Linked DNA regions of Lonchura striata. The main gene of each other region encodes a partner of the protein of the gene in region 3 in a complex. Links are inferred from orthologs where the notes say so. Each region holds a gene or a part of one and is shown on either strand. Other genes may lie near its edges.

Region 1 (7,454 bases), on a different chromosome or scaffold from region 3:
CTATTTTGCAGAGAGCTGAAGGTGGTGATTTCATTAAGATACTCATTCCCCAATTCTCTGTGCAGAAGACTTTTCCAAACCTATTGGAGCTAAAAACTTGATTTCAACAGCTGCCAGAGGTGTTCTTGGAGTCTTAAATTGATCTAGTTTTGTCTTGGCATATTCTGTTCAACCAGTCATGGAGAGATTGTACATAGATTGCCATTTGTGAAATTCTTGGAGGAGACTCCAGCTCTAATTTTCAAACTTGATGCATCCACTAGCTCATTGGCACAACTACTTTCTTTCTCCATCTGTTAAAATGGCCCTATGCCCACCAATATGGTTATATGCCAGTTTTGGTAGGGTATACAGCCCAGCAAAGATGAATGGTTTGGATGAACTGATGAGTGTACAAGATAAAATCTGAACCCTCTGGTCAGTACAAGGATAGGAACTAAATGCAGTGTACAAATGGAGGCGTACTATTGCAGAATACTTCTCCAGCTGAAAACTCTCAGATCTGATGGGAAGTACCACACAGTGAATATTTTCTTATTGCTATGCACTTGGCAAATATGAGGATGCAAGCAATGAACTGTTGATTTGCTGTAGCTCTCTGTAATGTTGTTACTATATTTTTGTGGCTTTTTTATTTGCTCAGAAAGGCAAGTTTTACAGTTTTGAGGCCGTCAGTGTGGTTTCTGCCTATTTACTGCATTGTCATATATTTGCCGTAGTCATTTGCTTTGATCTGCATCCTGAATGGTATTAAATAGCCATATCTACAGCTGTTACAAGGCTGAAATTCCACATGTTTTTAGTTCTGCATTTTTTGAAGGCTGTTCTTGTTTCTGCCATCCCCTGATATTTTGGTACTTGGAGGAAACAAGAACGGTTCTCGCAATCTGCCAGAAGATGAGCAGCATTGTAATGCTGTTAAACAGTGTTGCTGAAACTTGGACATATATGTAAATATTCAAGCACTGAGTAGGTTCTGACAACACAACTTCTGTGATGGTATCTTTCAAAGAAGCCTTTTCTCAACATTTTTGGGAAAGCTGGTGTGATGCTGCTTCTCACCTTCTTATAATCCCTTCACAACTATCAAAGTGGTCTACAAATGTCTGCAAATTCTGAGCACTAGCCTCGAGAAAGGCTCTAAGTTGGCACAACCATTTAAGTGGCGGCACCACTTCTGATGACCCTCTTTCAGCCTTCAGAAAATTGTCTTCCACTGAGGAAGATTCCACTCTGGCAGAAGTTTCCCTTCTGTATTGGTGGTGTTGGTACTATCAGAAATGGTTATATGCAGTGCAATTGCAAGACTGAATATTTTCATCCTGTCAGACAACATTTCTTGTTGCTGGGTGAAGTAGAATCTTTAACTACTTTACTGACAACAGATAATCTTAGCTCGAATCACAGTCTGATCCAGAAGGGATTTCAAACTACTTTGTCCTACTAGCTGCCATCTGGTTAGAGCTTTTGAAATATAGGTAATTTCAATATCTGCATTGATGATGGTGATAGCAGCAATTTAACAGGTGTTGATGTGCTGAGTTGCTCAAGTGTTGCTCAGGTAGTATCTGTTCATGACAGAGAAATGGGAGATGCTTTATTTAGTTTTTAACTTTACACTTTCCTGTTTCCTCAATGAGAGGGAAAGAGTGCAACTGAACATCCGGACTGCAAGTGCTTTGAGAAATTAGAGGCAAAGTAACAATCAAATGAGTTAAATTCTACTTCTGGTCACTATTTCTGGTTTTGTTCTCTGTGGCTCTCATCCTTACAGGATACTACAGTTATCCTGGTTTTCCTCACATCTCTAGTCTATTCTTTAATACTATTTAGTTTGCTTTTTGCATAATGTGCTTCATTTTCAGATTGAAAAATTAGAGATGGCTGAAAAAGAAATAAATTCTTATCTCAATTTCTCTTTAAACCATAGAACAGCTACACTTACAGCCATATGATTCAAGGCTTCCTTGAAGTAGTAGTTGAATTCTGTGTTGTGAATTAGAAATAAATATAGTGTTATATTGAAAAAGGATGGTAGTACTGAACAGCACCACAAGATGTCATTCAAACAGTTTATGGCATAGACCAAAACGCAGTGAAACTCAGATTTCTTAATTTCCTGCTAGACGAAAACCCTAAATCAACAAAATTAACTCAAATTGCAGCATGTATTTGCTGCCAGTTAAGCGTCTGTGTTTTATGGGTCTGAAATCAATTTGCAGTTCCTCTTTAAATGTTAAATTCAAACTTGTTTAGCGTTTACACAGTAGCATGACCTAGAATAAACCAATTTATTTTAAGCAATTTGCAGTGCCAGTAAAATGCAATGAAAAAAACCAAATTTTTTTCAGGAAACATGGGACGTTCCCTAGGAGTTTGTTGCTACTCAGGTGCCAGAAGCAAAGGTTACACTGCTTTGTAAATGTGTGTTTTCTGCTTTAAACTCATGCACAATATTTTAAATTTTATCTTGAAAGCCAAAAAAAAAAAAAAAAAATATGCTGTGGTTAAAAGTATTTCTTCTTGAATGCAAGAACAGTGCAATTGATACTGTGTAACTGAAATTAGGCAGTGGATGGAAAACTTGAAACAAGAAATGCATTGTTAAAACTCAAATGAGTGAGACTTCTGAAACTTCTGTTCTATAAGGGCTTTATTCCATAACACTGAAACTGATGAAGGTTGCTTCCTCCCAGTGGTGAATTTGTTTACCATTCCTGTACCTTACCTTACAGTGCTGTCCTTATATGTGAAGATCTTCTGTTTAGAATTCACTCTCCTTTCCTTGAGAGGATTACAGCTGTTCCCGAGGTTATTGTTGCATTGCTAGTTGAGCTTCAGTTGCAGTTTTGATACTCATTAATCTTTGGCTTAATTACAGTGAAGACTTATGATTAGTGGGTGACTTCTTCCAGTAACTGGCATGTTAGAACTGTGGCAAAACTTGAAAATCTGTGGATTTAATCTTACAGTGTTGCTAAAACTGAGAAAATAAATGTGTATTTTAGCAGAGTGGAGCAAATGTTTTCTTAATAATAGTTGTTTAGAACATGTTGATGCAGTACCTAATGACGTGCCACAGATTCTGGATTAATATTTTAGTATAACTGGAAGTTTGTCATAGTTCCTATGGAGAGATGAAATAACTGAGACAGAGGTCCAGATTTATTGCATAGCTGTTTAAACTTCAGTGATCTATAGTTAGTCTTAACCTCAGCAAGACGTGAGTTTTAGTGACTAAGTGTGTGCTGACAGTAGTATGGCATATTCAGAATTTTTCTTTGGATGCTGTTTGCCTTAATCAGCATGCAGAGTTAGGTGAAGAGTCCGTGTTTCTAATTTATACTATTTTAGCTTTCAAATTGTAATACTTAGGAATACAAGCCTGTGGTGCTAAAGATTACAAAGGCAGCTGGGAACTGATTTTTTAATACATTAATAATTGACTTGTTGACTATATCCTTATGGTAGATACCATAAAAGTACTAAAGATCATATTTCATAGCACATGCTTAATATGTCGTATGAGTATATTTCTAATTGTTGTCTATCACAGTGCTTTCATCTTGCAACTTTTGAGAATGGTGGGCCTATCTTGAAGTAGAGTTAAGACACTAGATTATGGCTTGGGAACTCAAGTGAAGTTTTGGTGAGTTCTTAGACTACATCATTGGGCAGACAGGTGGGAATCTTCTTGTTTTTCTGGGTTTTTTTTTTGCTCTTGGAGAGTCACTTTACCTCTTCTTACTTTTAGGGAAAATGGCTGAGACTATATATCTATACTCTGCCAAAAGTTTGGTATTTTTTCATCTGCTGTTGTTGGGACCATTACTTTTCTGCTTCATATAGTTCCACATAATTTGTCAACTATCAGATTAGGCTTATTTAAACCTGGTGTTGCTCCTGAAGTAATAAAGTTTATATTTCAGTCATCTACAATATGTACCTAACTCTGTAAGGGTAGAGTCTCTCAAAATTTTACCAGAGAGGCAAAGGTATTGATGCAGCTGAAGGTTGCTTGCATTTTTCTGAGCCCCTGGCAAGTGGAAGGAAGTGATAAAGTATTTGCCTAGCATTGTGTATTGAAGAACTGCCACCTCAGCATAACTAATGAATATAGAAATATGAACTCTAGTGTGACTGCAAAGCTTACATTTACATTTATTTCTACTTAGAGGGATTTTATTAAAATATTGAAATTTCTTAAAAAGTAATGATCAAAAGATGAAAATACTTGTACTGTACAGTAAACTGTATTACAAAAGACTGAAATGCATTTGCTTTTCCCATTGTTCATGGAGGCTCTGATAAGAGTTGTTTTTGGAAGGAAATGACCTTTGAAATCTGCATATGGTATTTGTTTCTGGAAGTTCAAACAGCAAGGGAGTGTGCATCCTGTTACTTTGTAAGATTTTCTTTTTTTTTAGAGTAGACCTCACTCTTGGCAGGCAACCTTGGTTGAGTTCAGTAATTTTTTTAATTGGTTTTTTACATACTTCACTTAAAAGAATGGAACAAAACTCCACAATGCTGGGCAAAATAATTGAGGTGTCTTGCAGTATTAAGTCTGCTCTTAAAGGGAAAAACTTTGATGTTACACTGAAACCATATCTAACTGTAGAAGAAAAAAGGCTTGCTGCTGCTGGTGATCCATGTGAATGTATGAAGCAATATTTTACTTTGTAAGTATCTAATATTTGCTAATGATGGATTATAATTTGCTAGAAAAGATTTTTTAAAACCTAAACAAATAATCTCTTCAAGTAAGATTTGATTTCCAAGTGGATTCATCAGGAACTTTTTGTTTAATTCGTATTTTTCTTTCTTTATTTTTTCCCCTGCTGCTTTGCTTTTATGGAAACAAGGCTGGCTGAAAACAGGTCTTCATATATAAATTTCTGTGTTTTTTGTCTTTCCAGCTAACAGTTCAAAATGTTTTCATTTGAAATGTATGATAGAATATTTTCTATAAGCATTTAGAAGTAGAGCTCATCAATAAACACTTCTGTCTTCACATCTTAAAATAGCCTTTTTATTTTTTGTTGTTGTTTATTACATTCTGGGAGACGGTTTTCAGCATGTACTTGGATCTTGTTCTGTGTAACTTCCTCCATTTTTTGTTACTTGATCCTCAAGCCCAAATTCTAATTTCTACATTTTCCGCTTTGTTGACAAATTCTTCTTTTTTTGTTTGTTTGGCTGCTAATTAGTATTCTACCTTCCACTAGTTAATGAAACTCTCGCTTCTCATGATAACTGGTCCACATGCTCAGCCTTTCTCTTATCCTCGGTCAGTGATTTTTTAAGTCGGTGGGCTGTGGACACAGTCTCCCCCTGCCTTTTACCCAATTGGACTTGATTCCACATTGTTGCTGAGTTGTTTTTATTAGTTTCCTCTTTGTCTTGATGGTCCTGCAAAACGTCCTTGTGGCCCATCAAATTTGCATTCTTGGTCTACCCTCAGGGGTACATCCTTCTTCAGAAGCTTTGCTAACCTCACCTGGGGTCTGACATAGTTGAAATATGTCAAGCCCTAAACCTTAACAAGGCAGTTCTACAGGCAAGTCATTTGTTTTTCTAACACACAGAGTTCACTGCGAACTTGTTGGTTAGCTGCTATCCATTTCATAGATTGAATCTCATTTGTTGTTGATCAGGCTTGAAAGTATACAAAGTTGAAACATCAAAGAACATTCTTTCTTAAGAAAATTTTTACGTATTTCACATTTTGCAGCAACAGTAGGAAACTGGAAGCAAGAGCATCGGTCTAAAAGCAACTTTCTAAATCAAGTCCTATCTTTTGCTATGTAACTTTTCTTACCATGTCATACAGATTCTTGCACAGGGAAGAATTATGACTTAAGCAGAAGGGATTAGAGGTTTCTAGTTTCTGTATCCAGCTAGAGCAAAGTGTCAGGCAAAGTACTACAAGCTGATCAAAAAGAACTGAGACTTACTCAGTATCCTATGAGGAATAGGTGAGTAGGAATGGTCAGCAAAATCAGCTGTTCCTGTGGCCAAGAGTGATGGGAATAGAGAGCTGCCAAAAATTAAATCAAACCTATGCTTCCTAAAATGTTAATTTAAAATGGAACTATACAGAGGGATTGAAAGTTAAAATGCTGAAATTATTAATGTTATTTTATGTACAGCCCCCAGACCAACAAATACTTTATTTCTGATATAAAAAATAAGGATATAGATCTGAGGGCAAAATATGGAGTGACTAAAACATGTGTGATGATATAGACATGAATACAAGCATCTTCAAGTCAAATCAGAAAAATGTAGAGTTTAATGTAATGAAAGGTGTGACTTTACCCAGGAACAGGAATGTGGACAATAGGAAAACATGTGTGAAATTACAGCATTAGTTACTTTTAACAGACCTGTCAATCTTGGGTGGTGTTACAAGAAGGTACACTGTACATTATGACTGGCCATGAGGAAGGTATCCAGCTGGAGACTTACTGAACTGATCTTAGCAGTATGCAAAACTGCAGGACGAAACTGAATGGGACATACAATTTAAATGATCAAAGTACACAACCAAACAAATGTAGCAATAGAAGACTGACCTTATACATCTTTGAATGTGTCCAGGAGTAGCTAAAGATAGTAAAAACCTTTGAGTGTGGTGCAGACACAAGTGGGAGTTACCAGTGATATTTGAGAAGTGGTACTAAAGCAGGCAAGGAAATGGAATACTTCCTTTTTTCTTCCTTTTTCCTTTTTTTAAAATAATAATTATTAAGTGAAGCAAATATTGACAGTATAAAGAATCTGTAATAGGTTGCTCCGATTGTTTCATGAAATGCTTGATTTTGAAAAAAGAGTTAGACTTAAATTTTAAGTTGCATGTAGATATGAATTTTATGTGCCTTAGGTTAGTAGGAAATGTGGTGATTGCTATGTTGGGTTTTTTTACATTTAGTTGCAGTTCTTATGTGGATGTAGACTGAAATGTGGGCAATGTGGATTTCTTGTGGGGAGGCACAAAGCAGATGCAGTACTGGTTCTGAAAACATGAGGAAATTTTTGTTAGAGTCACTCTGTTGCAAGTAGGAAAAATACTATTTACAAGTTTATGACTGAATGAATGACGGTATTTTTTTCTTGTAACTGATTCCAGCTTTGGCTTACATCCTTTTCTTCTTCCCATATGAAATTATGAGGGCAGTGATAAATCAGAATATATCCAGGTTCTGCATTCACTTTTGAAGTCTTGTCTGGATATATTTGGTCTGGCTGAGATGGAATTATTTTCCCTCACAGCAGTCTTCATCATGCTGTGCTTTGAATTGGTAGTGAGAAAGATGTTGCTAACAGTGTTGTAGCTATTGCTGAGCAGGGCTCACACAGGAGTCAAGACTGTCTCTCCAATATCCCCCTTTCCTAGCAGCCTGGGGTTGGGCAAAACCTTGAAGGATGTGTAGCCAGGACTTGTGGCCCAG
Region 2 (7,653 bases), on a different chromosome or scaffold from region 3:
AAGTTATAATAGTACAGAAAGCAAGGGCATGAAACAATAACCTAAGTCTTAAGTTTGGCTAAGATAAACCTTCAGACTACAAGAAAATATGCTTAGCAAGATAGTAAAAGGTTTTAGACTTAATAATAATGTACTGTGTGTTATCAATAGAAAGAAGACAAGCAAACACTGTGTGAAACAAGTATACGTGTACTTTCAGTAATTAGCTAGAATAATTATCTATAAACTTTAGCAATATGCTATTAGCCAGAAGTTTTTTAAATATTCAGCAACAAAGAAATCATCAGCTGCTACTAGCTGTATATAAGCTTTACCATCTTCCTATTGTCTCAACCACATAATAAAGCTAATACTACAAATAAAACTCATTAAATGTACCCCAGCAGTCCCATCGCGATCATGAATGAAAAATAAAAATAAAACAAGCACACCAACACAGCTCTGAGCACATCCCTGCCCCATGGACAGACCCCAGGAGCTGGCACAAGCACCAGCAAGGGAGAGAAACACCCCAGGGTGCCAGAAGAGAGCCAGAGGCTGAGGATACACAACCCAACAGCTCCAGAGCCTCCTGCTGACCCCAGTTCTGTCCCTCCTTACAGCAGTGCTTCCCATCCTACAGCCACACCTCCTGTGCCTGTAGGATGGGAAACATCCTATCCCTGTGCAAATCCCACAGCTCCCACCCCTGTGCAAATCCCACAGCTCCCATCCCTGTGCAAATCCCACAGCTCCCACCCCTGTGCAAATCCCACATCCCACAGCTCCCACCCCTGTGCACATCCCACAGCTCCCATCCCTCTGCAAATCCCACAGCTCCCACCCCTGTGCAAATCCCACAGCTCCCATCCCTGTGTGCTCATCCCATATCCCACAGCTCCCATCCCTGTGTGCTCATCCCATATCCCACAGCTCCCAGCCCTGGGCTCATCCCACCTCTGCCAGACCACCACAAACCCTCCCAGCAGCCCCACACACCTTCCCAGTGAGATCTTTTCCCCCTCTCTGGCCTAACTGGAGCCAGTCTTTGCTCCAGCTCGGCCTTGCAGCAGCTCAGGGCTGTGACTCTGCTGCATCCCAGCAGGACCATCCCCATCCTCTCACCAATCTTGTTTCTGACCAACCCATGGGCATTCCAAAAGGCTCCATCCCCACCAAGCAAGGGATAACTCAGATAACTCAGGGGTAGGAGCCAAACTCACCATGCCATCAGCATGGTGCCCAAAGCAAACCCAAAAAATCCTTGGCAGATCCAAAGCAGTGGCACCAGCAAGCAATACATCCCATCAACTAATAACTGGGGAATAAACTCAAGGAAAAAGCAAAAAGGACAATGCTGAGGTGTCCCCTGCAGCACACACTGCCAGGATCCCACAGCCACAGAGCCCAAAGCACCGTGCTCTGAGAGCTGGGGGCGTTTTTAATCACCTTGAACAGGGATGGCACCCACAGGGGCTCCCCAAACTCCAGCTGAGCATCCTCAGGGACACCAAGGACTTTGTCCTGGCCACAGCATCAGGTTCCCGTGGCGGAGGGGATGTTCTCCTCCTGGGAAAGGAAGGTTCTGCAGGGTGGGCACCTCCTGCCTTGGAATTCCCAGCCTGGCTTGATCCAAGCAAGGCCCAACACCTCTGGAAAGCCCCTTGGGGTGCCAAAGCCTGTTCAGCCTGGCAGTCTGACCCCACAAATGGGTGTGGGAGCCACAAACCACATCAGTCCAACTGCTCATCCAAGGCTTAGCCCATTTTCTGTCACCCCAGGAGAGAGAAGACACAAAACCCCTCCTGAGTCCCAGTGTTGCTGGGGAAGGGACCCCTGACAGGTGCCAAAACTCCACACAAAACACCTGCAACAACAACAGCAACACCTCCAACACGGCTCCTTCAGGCTGGAGCTGTCTCACAGCTCCTTTTAATCCACTTTGGGGCTTTTCCCCCCAAAATCTCCATGGAGGAGGCAGCGAGCACAGGATATCAGCCCAGCTGCCTCCCCGTCTGCTCCACGCCCAGTTCCCAGCATATTCCAGGCAGAGCCAAGACCTTTCTCTACAGGTGTGCCACATCCTGAGGGGGTGAAGGGCTCACCCCGTGTCCCCCAGCCCGTTCAGGGGTCCTGTCCCCAGCAAGTGGCCAGGACATGGTGCCCGGGGTGGTCCGTGCAGGACGGGCCGGAGAGCAGCGCTGGGACATGGAGCTGCTGCGGGGACAGGCGGGACACGGGACACAGCCCGGGGCAGGCAGCGGGCACGGGGGACCCCCGTGTGCCCCAGCCGGGCCAGGGACCAAGGGGACACAGCCCAGACTGGGGAGGGGACCATGGGGACACAGCCCAGACTGGGGAGGGGACCAGGGACCAAGGGGACACAGCCCAGACTGGGGAGGGGACCATGGGGACACAGCCCAGACTGGGGAGGGGACCATGGGGACACAGCCTGGAGTGATGAGGGGACCATGGGGACACAGCCCGGAGTGGGGAGGGGACCATGGGGACACAGCCCAGACTGGGGAGGGGACCAAGGGGACACAGCCCGGGCTGGGGAGGGGACCAAGGGGACACAGCCCGGAGTGGGGAGGGGACCAAGGGGACACAGCCCAGACTGGGGAGGGGACCATGGGGACACAGCCCGGAGTGGGGAGGGGACATTGCGGACAGAGTTCAGGACGCGGGGTCAGGACGCAGACACGGCCCGGGGCGAGGCGGAGGCCGAGCCGGGGCTCACAGCGGGGTCACAGCGGGACACCGCCGGTCCCGGAGGGGCACCGGGGGGCACAGCTCAGGTCGGGGGTCGGGAGGGGCCCGGGCCCCGCGGGGAGCCCGTCCCGGGGCCGCACGGGCAGAGCTCCGGGGAGGAGCCCGGGGCAGGAGCGGCTGCGGGGCCCGGCTCTGCCCCGGCCCGTACCCGCTCTGCCCGGCCCGGCCCGGCCCGTACCCGGCCCGTACCCGCTCTGCCCGGCCCGGCGCGGTCCGTACCTGCTCCGGCCGCTCCGTACCCGCCGCCGCCGCCGGAACTGAGGAGCGGGGAGCGCTTCCGGGGCGGGGCGGGGCCACGGCGGGAGGGCGGGGCGGGAATGGGAACCGGGATGGGAACCGGGATGGGGACAGGGATGGGACAGGGATGGGGACAGGGATGGGACAGGGATGGGGACGGGGAATGGGAACCGGGATGGGAACAGGGATGGGGACAGGGATGGGACAGGGATGGGGACAGGGATGGGACAGGGAATGGGGACAGGGAATGGGAACCGGGATGGGAACAGGGATGGGGACAGGGATGGGGAACAGGGATGGGGACAGGGAATGGGGACAGGGATGGGGACGGGGAATGGGAACCGGGATGGGAACAGGGAATGGGAACAGAGATGGGAACAGGGAATGGGAACCGGGATGGGACAGAGAATGGGGACACGGAACGGGGACAGGGATGGGGACAGGGATGGGGACAGGGATGGGGACAGGGATGGGAAGAGGGAATGGGGACAGGGATGGGGACAGGGATGGGGACAGGGATGGGAACAGGGAATGGGGACAGGGAACGGGGACAGGGATGGGGACAGGGAATGGGGACAGGGATGGGGACAGGACGGGGACAGGGACGGGGACAGGGATGGGGACAGGGAATGGGAACCGGGATGGGGACAGCAATCGGGATCAGGGAATGGGGACAGGGAACGGAACAGGGATGGGAAAAGGGAATGGGACAGGGAATGGGACAGGGATGGGGACAGGGACAGGGACAGGGATGGGGAACAGGGATGGGGACAGGGAATGGGACAGGGATGGGGACAGGGACAGGGATGGGGAACAGGGATGGGGACAGCAATCGGGAACAGGGAATGGGGACGGGGAACAGGAACAGGGATGGGGAACAGGGAACGGGGACAGGGATGGGGACAGGGGAGGGGAACAGGGAGTAGGGACGGGGAAAGGGAATAGGGGAGGGGGACAGGGAACAGGGACAGGCAGTAGGGATAGGGATATGGGATGAGGACATGGGACGGGTACATGGGATGGGAATGGGGGATAGGGGATGGAGACATGGGATGGGGATAAGGGACAGGGACATGGCATGAGGATATGGGACAGGGACATGGGATGGGGACAGGAATTGGGACAGAGGATGGGGTCATGGGATGAGGACATGGATGGGGACACAGGATAGGGACAGGGTTAGAGACAGGATGGAGACATGGGGTGGGAACACGGGATGGAGCAGAGACATACGGGGGACAGGGATTGGGATGGACACGGGGAAAAGGGCTTGGATACAGGGCTTGGAACGGGGTCACACGGGGTGTGGGGGACAGGGTGACACCCTCCACAGGCTGTGTCCCCCTGCTCCGCCGGGTGTCCCCAGGGCAGGAAGGGCCCTCTGGGGCAGTCCCCGTGGCCGGCCAGCGGCAGTGCCCGCGGGAGCAGGGCGGGCTCGGGGGCGCCCAGGGCCGGCTGTCCCGTGTCCCCAGCGCCTCCCGGGGATGTGTCCCCAGCGGCCCGGCCGAGCCCGCTCCTCCTGGCTGCTCCCGGCCCTGCCTCCATGGCTTCCGTGGGATGAGGGACGGCGTGGGACCTGCTCCCACCCGGGACAGCAGGGCTGCTCCGGGAGCCAGGGAGCGTGTGCTGATTGGCTGGGATCTGTGCTCCTGCATGCTGATTGGCTGGGATCTATGGACCCGTGTGCTGATTGGCTGGGATCTAGGGACCCCTGTGCTGATTCACTGGGATCTGTGCTCCTGCAGGCTGATTGGCTGGGATCTATGGACCCGTGTGCTGATTGGCTGGGATCTGTGCTCCTGCATGCTGATTGGCTGGGATATATGGACTTGCATGCTGATTGGCTGGGAATCTGTGCTCCTGTGTGCTGATTGGCTGGGATCTAAGGACCCGTGTGCTGATTCACTGGGATCTGTGCTCCTGCCTGCTGATTGGCTGGGGTGATGTCTATGGACCTGGTTGCTGATTGGCTAGGATCTAGGGACTTATGTGTTGATTGGCTGGCTCTCTAAGCCTGGCTGCTGATTGGCTGAGCTGTCAGTACCTGCCTACATCTTGATGTCTGTGTGTGCTGATTGGCTGGGCAGCAGCTATGCTGATTGGCTGGGTGGCCTGTGACTGCTGATTGGCCACTGGCCCATATGGGCTGACTGGCCGAGGTGTCTGTGAGTGCTGATTGGCTGGATGGTACCCAAGTGCTGATTGGTTGAATGATACCCGAGTGCTGATTGGCTGGATGGTACCCAAGTGCTGATTGGCTGGATGGCACCCGAGTGCTGATTGGCTGGGTGGTACCCGAGTGCTGATTGGTTGAATGATACCCGAGTGCTGATTGGTTGGGTGGCCCGTGCATGGCCCGGTCCCAAGGGCAGGTTTTGGGGGTCACATCCCCCCCACCCCATCCCTGTCTCCATCCCCTTCCCCATCCCCATCCCGGCCGGGATGGCAGCCATGAGCCTCCCATCCCTCCCTGCATCCCGCAGGGTGTCCCCTGTCCCCTCAGGGGACCCTCCCGGCAGCCCCCCCAGCCAGCAGGAGCCCACCTCCCCCAGCCCCAGTCAGTGCCTGACCCCGGGGGGACACCAAGTGACGGCCACACCCCAGGGTCGCTGCCCCACCCGTGGAGGAGCTGTCTGCGCCACCCGGGGGTCCCCCCTTTCCCCTTCACACCGGGGTGGGTTCCTGCTCTGTACTGGGTGGTCCCAGCTCCCTCCCCAGGGTGCCGTTCTCTATTCGTGGGGACCCCACTCTATTCCCAGGTGTTCCTCTCTCTGCCCGGGGGGTTCACGGTCACACCAGGAGGTCCCCACTCCCTCTCCAGGGGGTCCTGGCCCTGTCCTCCAGGGTCCCACCCTCCATTCCTCTTATCCCGCTCTCTGCTCGGAGGGTCCCTTCTCTCTTCAGGGCACTCCTCTTCCCACGAGGTCTTCACTCTGTCCTGGGGTGTCCCTGCTCCTTTCCCGGGGCTCCCATTCTTTATTCCCAGTGCTCCTGCTCCCTGCCCGGGGGATGTGTTCTCTCTTGAGCAGCTCCCTCCTCCCTTCCCAGGGCTCCCACTCTCTATTCCCGGGGGTCACGCTGTCTGCCCGGGGGCACTCTCCGCTCCCTTCCCGGTGGTGTTTCCTGCTCCCGGGATCCCGCTGTGCCCGGTGTCCCCGTTCTCCCGCCGGGGGACAATCCGCTCCTTTCTGCTGCGGCTCCCGCTCCCCACCTGGGCGTGGCAGCCGGGTCCCCCCGCACCGCGGGGCTGCGGCGGCGGCGCGGGGCGGTGCCGGTGCCGGTGCCGGTGCCCACCCCCGCTGCCGGTGGCGGGGCGGAGCGGCCGCCCCGAGCGCTATAAAAGCGGGCGGCCGCGCCGGTGCCGCAGCGAGGGCGGGGGTCGCCATGAGCCTGATGCTGGAGACGCTGCTGGGCCCCCCGGGGGGGCTCCGCAAGGAGCCGGGCCGCGCTGCCCCGCGCTCCGCCGCCTCCAGCGGCTTCTACTCGTGGCCGGCCCCGGCGGTGGGACGGGCGCGGGGCGCGGGGGGCGGCGGCGGCAGCGCGGCCGCGTCCTCCACCGAGAGCCTGGACTCGCTGAACGGCGAACCGCGGGCGCGCAACGAGAAGGAGCTGCTGCAGGTGCTGAACGACCGCTTCGCCGGCTACATCGAGCGGGTGCGGGCGCTGGAGCAGCAGAACCGGGCGCTGGCGGCCGAGGCGGCGGCGCTGCGGCAGCAGCAGGCGGGGCGCTCGGCCATGGGCGAGCTGTACGCGCGGGAGCTGCGGGACATGCGGGGCACCGTGCTGCGCCTGGGCGCCGAGAAGGGCCAGCTGCGGCTGGAGCGGGCGCGCCTGGCCGAGGACGTGGCGGCGCTGCGGGGGAGGCTGGAGGACGAGGCTCGGCAGCGCTCGGAGCTGGAGGCGGCGGCCCGCGGGCTGGCGCAGCGCTCGGCGCAGGAGGAGCGGGCGCGGGCGCCGCTGGAGGAGCGAGCCCGGGCGCTGCGGGAGGAGGCGGAGCAGCTGCGGCGGCAGCACCGCGCCGAGGTGGGAGCGCTGCTGCGCGGGGCGCGCCCCGAGCTGCCCGCCGAGCCGCCCGCCTCGCTGCGCCCCGGCGTCACCGCCGCGCTCCGCGACCTGCGCGCACAGCTGGAGGGCACGGCGGCCCGCAGCACCCTGCAGGCCGAGGAGTGGTTCCGCGGTGAGTGCCGGGCTGCGGCCGCCGGACAGCCTCCCCGGGGCAGCCCGGGCTGCCGCGCTCCGGGATGGGGGTGGAGCAAAGGGAGCGAGGGAGGCCCGAGGGATGCGGGGACCCCCCCCCCGCTCTCTGTGTCGTGTTAGAGTGCCCGACCCCGGGAGGTGCAGGGACCCCTCCCACCTCTACCGTGCTCCTGGAGGGTGTTGGGATACCCAGCCCCATATACTGTGCTCGGGGAGGGCGTTAGTGTCCCCCAACCCCAGCAGTGTGCGGGGACCTCCCGTACCCCCAGCACCCTTCAGGGTGACCCCATCCCTGCCACCAGAGCCCCAGTGCCTGCGCTGCCCGACTCCCCTCTGCCCCGCAGTGAGTTTCGAGGAGGGTTCCAGGATCACTGGCCCGGCCCCCCGCAAGTTTTTGGGGTGCCGGGCCCTCTGACTCTGCAGGGTACTGTGCTGGTCCCTCTGAGCCGGGGCGAGGCCAGGGGTGTT
Region 3 (7,805 bases):
CCATAAGACTGTGTTCCTATTTTATTCCATTATAAACCCCATTAATAAAAGAAAAATAAAAACAAGTATCTGGTATGAAAAAAGGACAGGCTGACAGGTGAAAAGCACAGAGGGAGCTGCATCCATGCCCTCCCTGCTCAGGAAATATTGTGGTGCAAATAATGCAGTTGTGAACCCCAAGAATGGCCTGTGGCTTTCTGCTCACCAGTTCAGCACTGGGTACAGTGGTGTGAGAACTGAGGGCTACAAAGAATTTATCTTCAGATAAGCGGTGTACATTTGGGGTGTTTTTTGTTTTTGAGGCTGAATTGTTCCTGAGCTCAAAATCTTCAATTTTAAGCCAAATATCCTGTTATTCATTCCTGGGAACTGGGCACTAAGTCAACATTTACACTTCTAGTAGAAATGGCAAGAACTCACACGAGAACACCATCCAGCAATGAAACTGGCATTTGGTTTAGGGGAAATGTCAAGGCAGAACCCCTGAGTTGTGAGATAGAGGAGCAGTGGGCGAATAAGAGCTGTGTGAGACACGAGGGTTTTATCAGAACTGAAACATCAGCAGAAGCTCCACCACAGCCCCTCCGACGTCTGCATGCGTTAAAAATAAGGAATAAAATCGGATACTCGCAAGCAGAAAGAAAAAAATGCTGAATTACACAGAAAAAACAGCTGCTGTAGTAGGAAGCTGATTCTGAACTTCTTTACTCATCAGCTAAAGAAAGGGAATGGCTGAGGACAGCGTCGGCTCTAACACAAGCCCTGTAGCATTCCAGGAGCAGAACTTCCAAGAGATTTCTAAAAACAGAATCAGAACTATTCCTTTTCAGATAAAGTTAGCTCATATTCACCAAATTTATCCACTGTAAAGCAAGCTGGATGTTTGCGAAGGCTGTTGAAATCCCTAAGAATTCTTGCTTGAAAGCCCATCTTTAAAAATAAGAGGTTGTTTTAGAAATAAAACCCTCTGGGATGTGTAAAGGTGGTTCTTTAAACATCACCACTGCCATTTCAGCTGGAATCCTGGGTTTTGAGCTTTTCCTCCTTGCACCAATTCATGTCACCAAAGGCTTGCTTAGCTGATAATTATCTGTAGAAACGTTCCTGCTCGAAGCAGCCGGAGCACAGCAGAGTTTGGTGAATTCCCAGGAGCAGAATCCAGCCCCGACTCCCACACACGCTTGGTTTGCCTCGAAAAGCTGCGCCTGGTCCTCCCCCCACTTGGTCAGCATGACTAACACTCACAGGGAACTCGGTGCACAGCTCCTGCCAGGCCCTTCCACATTCCAGCTATTTCACAACCGAGGAAATGCTCCGAGAGACCCATCCGAGCTCCTCGGACCATTTACACCGAGGGGTTCGACTTTAAACAGGATTTACATGACAAACACAAAGCCGTTCTGAGGGGAGGGCGGCTCTGCTTGAGCCATTTCAATTCCTGATGCTCCATCACAGGAAGCACCAACAAACTTGGCAAAGCTGCGGGGTTGGAGCTGCAGAGGTTCAATCGAGGTGAGTTTCCTCACCCTTTCACCCAATGCAATTATTCCAACAGGGAGAGCAGCCCAACAGGGCCTCCAGCACTGCGGATATGTTTGTAGCAGAGAAAAATCAGTGGCATCAAACCACCCCCAAAAACTTTCCTTTCGGAGAACTCCTTTATCCATAAGGCTGTGCTCCTATTTAATTCCATTACAAACCCCATGAATAAAAGCAAAATAGCAATCCTCCACTTCAGCCACACTTCCCTTTTTTTTCCCCCCTAGAAGCGCTCCAAATCAGCAGCAAAAATAGCAATAAAGACTGCTGAATGACCTTGGAAAAATCCACTTTGCCTCGGTTTCTCTGCCTGGAAAATAAGGTCAATGGAATACCCTGCAAAGGGGTGCTGCGAGCCTCGCAAGACAAAGCTCAAAGTATTACATAAATACTTGGAATTTTAGTTATTGACAAAGCTACAATTTCAACACCAGACCTCTAGTCGCGACTCTAATCAACCTGTGGAATTTGCTTTGGCAGGAGCAGAGCAGCAAAGCCACAAACAAGGTCAATGTCAAACACGACAACATTTGGGGCAGTTTTATGGCCCGGCAGAGTCTCGGTCTCGCTGTGCTGGGGCAGAGCCGGGCTATCACTTCATCACACCGAGCTTTATCAGCCCCGAAGTATCACGTTCGCCTCGCACCACGGAGTATTTTCAGACAGAATATAATATCCTCCCACCGGGAGCTGCTCCGCCAAGGAAAGCTGATCTCCCACACCACCAAACCCAAGGCGATAGGCGGCAAAAAAGAATTGTTTGCTCCACGATAAAGCTCTGCCCAGCAAGAAAAAACACCAACTCAGCAGCCAAGGGCTTAGGGAGAAACAACCTCTGCCCTGCGAGCTCCATCCCAACCTCATTCCCGCACCCCACGAGGGTTTTGGGGGGGAGAGGAGGAGGAGGAGGAGGAAATGCCTCTCCTTGCTCGGAGCCGTCCGCGGGCGGGGCAGAGGCCGGAATGAGCGAGTTTGGGGAAGGGAGGACAAACCCATCCCGTCTAATGCCATCGCTAGAGGGAGCGGAGCGGGGCCTTGTGCAGCTGCTGCCGAGCTGCGGCGATTCCCCTCGGCCAGCCCTGCCTCTCCCTCCCCATCCCACCCACGAGCGGGGAAGCCAAAGGCCCGACCCCCCCACAAAGACGTGGAAAGGGCGGACGGGTGGAGCAGCGCCGCTCCCGGGGAGCTCTGGGTCTGTGGGAGAAAAGGAATGAGTAGGGATAAGGTGGCGTGAGAGAAGGAATTAAAAGCAATGGGAAGGAACGAGCAGGAAAGCACCGCCCGGCCCCGCTGCCTCAGCGCCAAGGCCGCGGGATGCGGGGCGGGGGCGCGGCGCGGCGAGCCGGAGAGGGGGCGGGGGGGGGAAGGAAACGAAAAGGCTGGAAAGGAGGGAAGAAGAAGGTGTCGGCAAACGCACCGGCGCGGTCGGGAGGCGCGGGCCGTGGGTCTGGCAGCGCTCGGAGGGTCCCGCTCGGAGCCCGCTGGCCGCGATCCGCCCTGGAGCACAAGATGGCGGCGCGCTGCGGCCACGTCAGTGCCCGCCCCGCGCGCGGCGCCACGGGCAGGCCGGGCGCGAGCGGGGGGCGTGGCCTGCGCCGGGGGGGCGTGGCCACGGCGGGGCGCCGCAGGGCCGGCGCGAGGGGGCGTGGCGTAGAGGCGCAATGGGCGTGGCCACGGCGGGAGCGAGGCTCTGTGGGGATGGGGGCGTGGCCTGGGAGTGGGCGTGGTCATGGTGGGAGTGACGGTATCAGGAGGGGGCGGGGCCTGGGTTGGCCACGCCCACTCCGCAGCGCGGGGCCGGGATCCCCCGGGAATGGGATGGGATAACGGGATAACGGGGTGATGGGATAACGGGATAACGGGATAACGGGGTGATGGGATAACGGGATACCGGGATAACGGGGTGATGGGATAACGGGGTGATGGGATAACGGGATAACGGGATAACGGGGTGATGGGATAACGGGATAACGGGGTGATGGGATAACGGGGTGATGGGATAACGGGATAACGGGGTGATGGGATAACGGGATAACGAGGTAACGGGGTGATGGGATAACGGGATGACGGGATAACGGGATGATAACAGGGTGGGACGGGGCTCGTGGGGACCGAGCCTGCCCTTCCCGCTCAGCTCCCCTTTCCCTGCACTGTGCCCTCCCCTTTCCGTGCGCCGTTCTCCTCCCGCGCCGTTCCCGCTTCCCTTCACGGTTCTTTTCCCGTTCCCCGTTCCCCTTTCCCTGCAGCGTTCCTTCACCTTCTCTACACCATTCCTTCCCTCTTCCCTGCACTGTTCCCCCTTCCCTTCATAGTTCCCCCTTTCCCTGCTCTGTTCCCGCTTCCCTTTACCATTCCTTACCTGTTCCCTGCACTTCTAATCATTCCCCCTTTCTCTTCACCATTTCCTTTTTCCTGCACCATTCCCCCTTTCCCTGCACCATTCCCCATTTTCCCTGAACCATTCCCCCTTTTTCCTGGACCCCTTTTCCCTGCACCATTCCCCCTTTCCCTACATCATTTCCATTTCCCTGCACCATTCCCCCTTTCCCTGCACCATTCCCCATTTTCCTGCACCATTCCCTTTTCCCTGCACCATTCCCCTTTTCCCTGCACCATTCCCCTTTTCCCTGCACCATTCCCCTTTCCCTGCACCATTCCCTTTTTCCTGCACCATTGCCTTTTTCCCTGCACCATTCCCCCTTTTCCCTGCACCATTCCCTTTTCCCTGCACCATTCCCCCTCTTTCCTGGACCCCTTTTCCCTGCACTATTCCCCCTTTCCCTGCACTATTCCCCCTTTCCCTGCACCATTCCCTTTTCCCTGTACCATTCCCCCTTTCTCTGCACCGTTCCCTTTTTCCTGTACCATTTCCCATTTTCTTGCACCATTCCCCCTTTCCCTACACCATTCCCCCTTTCCCTACATCATTCCCTTTTCCCTGCACCATTCCCTTTTCCCTGTACCATTTCCCTTTTTCCTGCACCATTCCCCTTTTCCCTGCACCATTTCCCCTTTCCCTTCACCATTCCCCCTTTCCCTGCACCATTCCCTTTTCCCTGCACCATTCCCCCTTTTCCCTGCACCATTCCCCCTTTTCCCTGCACCATTCCCCTTTCCCTTCACCATTCCCTCTTCCCTGCACCATTCCCTTTTCCCTGCATCATTCCCCTTTCCCTTCACCATTCCCTTTTCCCTGCACCATTTCCCCTTTCCCTGCACTATTCCCTTTTCCCTGCACCATTCCCTTTCCCCTGCACCATTCCCTTTTTCCTGCACCATTCCCCATTCCCAAAGCAGCCCACGATCCTCTCTGAGCTCCAGCTTCTCTGTACCTCAGTTTCCCCCACAGAGGGAAAATTCCTTTAAATTTTTTTTACCTCAGCAAATAATTTTCCTAATTTAAACTAGTATTAATTCGTTTATTACACAGCACAGAGGGAACAGGTCAGCACAGCAGGATCTTAACTCCACGTGGAAATAGAATAATGCACATGGTCCCAAAGCTCAAGAGGTGGGTGTAGAAACAACTGTGCACAAAAAAATTCAGGCTTATCTCCTTTCTGTTTTGGGTTAACTTTGAGATAAATCGAGGTCGTGTGCTGTCCCAGGCTAAATACTAAATACTTCCTTTGTTAACGAGAAGTTTTGAAACAGAGCAGGAAGCCACCAAAACTGCTTATTTCTAGATTTCCCCTCGATGCTCATAGGAGATAAGTACCTCAAAGTCCTCCATCCTCTGTTGGAATCACCCAGCATTACACAGAGAAGGCAGACAGGCAGATGGGCGTGAGCCCAAAAGCTTCTTTTCCTAAAATAATTGGGTCACACGCAAAAGAAATGGCAGCAACAGGGCTGAGAAGTGCCAGGAGGGAGTCTGGGCAGGAGGGAAGATCATCCCTGTGCTTCTTCCAGGGAGGCACCACCCCCATGCAGAGCAGGTTTAAATTCATATTATTATTTTGCTTAAGAAAGCCCCTAAATTGCATTAAATCTCCCCAGACGGTCACTCAGCAGCAGCAGCACTGATGGGCTAAGAAAGTGATGGCAAGGACACGCTGAAAATTCAAATTAATCCTGTTTTCCTGCACTGTGGAAGCTGGGCTGGCTGACATGGGGGGTTTCAGGGAGAGGAGGATGCTCCAGGGGACAGATTGCTGCCCAGGCATGGACAGCTCCCACTGGGATCACAGATGTCCCTGTCCCCTGCCTTTGTGACCTGTTTGGGACACAGCAGCCTCCAGGACCTGGTTTGAAAGAGTCTGAGTTGAACCAAAAATACCAAGTGAGATTTAAAGAGAATAAAGAGACTTTGCACTTGCTCAAGGCTTCTGGGGAGAATCTGCCTCTGTCCTTGCTGGATATTTTGGGTGAGCCCTGGGGCAGGAGCTGAGCTGGGTGTTTCTGTGTGTCTGTGACAACAGGAAGGTGCTTTTTCAGCAGAAAAAACCTGAATTTCTCCCCATCCCCAAATCCCCTCCTGGCCCCAGCTGAGCCAAGCAGCCCTTGTTTCACAGCTCTGTCTCCATGCCCGGGCAGTGAACCAGATCAGGGCTGCTCTGAGTTAAAAATAACCCTCCTCTCCTTTTCTTTTCCTTTTTTTTCTTTGGCTTTATTTTTAACCCAGAGCAGCTCCTCGTTTTAGCTGCCTCAGGGGAGAAGATGCTCAACCCCACCACCCCACCAGGGTGAAAATCCAGCTGCAGGGCGAATCAGAGGAGGTTATTTCATTATTATCACCCATGACACATCACCAGGGAGATCTGATTTCGTTATTCTCATCCTCTGGAGACCTGAGGGGACGCTGAGCTCGAGGTCTCGTCCCTCTGATTCATTGCTGTGATGCAGCTGGAACCCTTTGCCCTGTGACTCACAGCATTCGTGGAGAGAAGAAAGAAGCCTCCGTTTCTTTTTCAGCTGAGGGAGCAGAAATGCCCCTTTGCTTCCTTCCATCCTAAGAAAAACTCATGTGGGACAAGGACAAAACAGGAAGGGATCTCTCAGGGCAGCTCAGCTCATTTTCTGGGTGCTCCCGGGGTTCCAGAAAACTCCCTGGCTTTTCCTGGATGGCCCCTTTGGAGCTGGAGACTTTTCCTCCCTGCTGGGAGCCTCTGATGACAAATCTGCAGCTGAAATACACCCTGTTCTCACTGCCCTTTTGGATTAAAAAAAAAAAAAAAAAAAAAAAAAAAAAAAAAAAAAGGTGTTTGTGCAAGGCGATTTCTGAGGTTATAAAAATATCACCTGGAGTCTCAAAGCGCTTCCCAAGCCCTGCTTTTCCTTCTGCACCTTCCCCGAGGGAAAAACACCACAGGCTGGGTTTGCTCTTGCTTCAGGGCCCCCCAAAATAATCTTTTCTCCCAAGTGTGGGCAAGTTGTCTTTATTGAGAAGATTCTTGATGAGAACATTTGGTATAATGAGGTGGTGGAGACCCTTGAGCAGGCGGCAGCGATGTCCAACCATTAAATCCCTCCTGGTGGTGATGGAAAATTAATTTTGGGGTGGACACCCACCCCAAAAGAGTGGAAGGGGCTGAAGGACACTGGGACCCATCACCGCTCTGTTTTCTGCTGCCCTGGAGCTCCTGGCTGCTGTCAGGTTGAGGATTTCTCACCTCTGAGTCTCTCACCTGAAGGTGAGAATTGCAATTACGAACAGGAGCTGAGAAATTACAACACCCTCCGCCCCTCCAGCAATTTGCTATGTTGCCTACCAAAAATAGCCATGATTCCTGGGATTTCTGGTCCTGGGGTCACCTCCAGATGGGCTTGGGCTGTTGAAAAGACGACAGTTCTAATGTTGCTGCTCGTGTTTCACCATCCTGGACGGAAAAGGAAGGTGGAAAGAGGAGAAAAGCAAAAAAACTCTACACAGCTGCATGGAGAGGCAGAAAAATCAAGAGTATTCAGATCCAGAGCTGTTATTTTGCTGTGGTTTCTCCTCTCAGAGCTGATTTAGGTGGCAGAAGGATCCACTCAGCTGGAGCACCTTTGAGAGCCCCTTGGCTGTGGCGCGGAGGGCTGGAGAGCAGAGGGAGCAGATCAGCTCCGTGCTCCCAACACCGACTCCCAGGGATGTTGGGAAATTGCCTCACCTCTCTTGGCCTCATTTTTTCCCCTCCTTCTCTTGGAAGCAGCTGCACGTCATGACTCGGTGGCGTGCAGGGGAACCTGGCAGTGAAGATGTTCAACCTCAGCACTGCTGACTGCTGGCACCTCGGGAGGAAGCTGCAGCAGCAGTGGGGTGATGCCTCAGCTTTTGGCTTTCA

The links.
Region 1: the proteins of ARF1 (region 3) and AP3B1 are in contact, whole or in part, in a cryo-EM structure (PDB 9C5B), measured with the Homo sapiens proteins. The link is inferred for Lonchura striata from reciprocal best matches to the Homo sapiens genes ARF1 and AP3B1. Residues at the interface, in NP_001019397.1 of Homo sapiens: Glu17, Arg19, Tyr35, Ile46, Pro47, Thr48, Ile49, Gly50, Phe51, Asn52, Val53, Glu54, Lys73, Ile74, Leu77, His80, Tyr81, Asn84; in NP_003655.3 of Homo sapiens: Glu52, Asn54, Pro81, Val84, Lys85, Val87, Ala88, Asp111, Leu112, Leu114, Leu115, Ile117, Ser118, Thr119, Gln121, Arg122.
Region 2: the proteins of ARF1 (region 3) and AP1B1 are in contact, whole or in part, in a cryo-EM structure (PDB 7R4H), measured with the Homo sapiens proteins. The link is inferred for Lonchura striata from reciprocal best matches to the Homo sapiens genes ARF1 and AP1B1. Residues at the interface, in NP_001019397.1 of Homo sapiens: Glu17, Met18, Tyr35, Ile46, Thr48, Ile49, Gly50, Phe51, Asn52, Val53, Glu54, Thr64, Trp66, Lys73, Leu77, Arg79, His80, Tyr81, Gln83, Asn84; in NP_001118.3 of Homo sapiens: Asn23, Asp25, Pro52, Asp53, Val55, Asn56, Met58, Gln59, Met83, Ile85, Met86, Ala87, Val88, Asn89, Thr90, Val92, Lys93, Tyr121.

What each region holds. Positions count from the first base shown.
Region 1 is NC_134642.1:12,762,838-12,770,291, forward strand, and holds the start of AP3B1 (AP-3 complex subunit beta-1), read left to right. Parts: upstream 1-4,436; 5' UTR 4,437-4,509; coding exon 4,510-4,682; intron 4,683-7,454. UniProt on the Homo sapiens protein: Subunit of non-clathrin- and clathrin-associated adaptor protein complex 3 (AP-3) that plays a role in protein sorting in the late-Golgi/trans-Golgi network (TGN) and/or endosomes.
Region 2 is NC_134620.1:2,977,169-2,984,821, reverse strand, and holds the start of AP1B1 (AP-1 complex subunit beta-1), read right to left. Parts: upstream 3,033-7,653; 5' UTR 2,971-3,032; intron 1-2,970. Other genes in the region: NEFH (neurofilament heavy polypeptide), read left to right, coding at 6,373-7,165. UniProt on the Homo sapiens protein: Subunit of clathrin-associated adaptor protein complex 1 that plays a role in protein sorting in the late-Golgi/trans-Golgi network (TGN) and/or endosomes.
Region 3 is NC_134603.1:154,872,773-154,880,577, forward strand, and holds the start of ARF1 (ADP-ribosylation factor 1), read right to left. Parts: upstream 3,090-7,805; 5' UTR 2,957-3,089; intron 1-2,956. UniProt on the Homo sapiens protein: Small GTPase involved in protein trafficking between different compartments. Modulates vesicle budding and uncoating within the Golgi complex. In its GTP-bound form, triggers the recruitment of coatomer proteins to the Golgi membrane.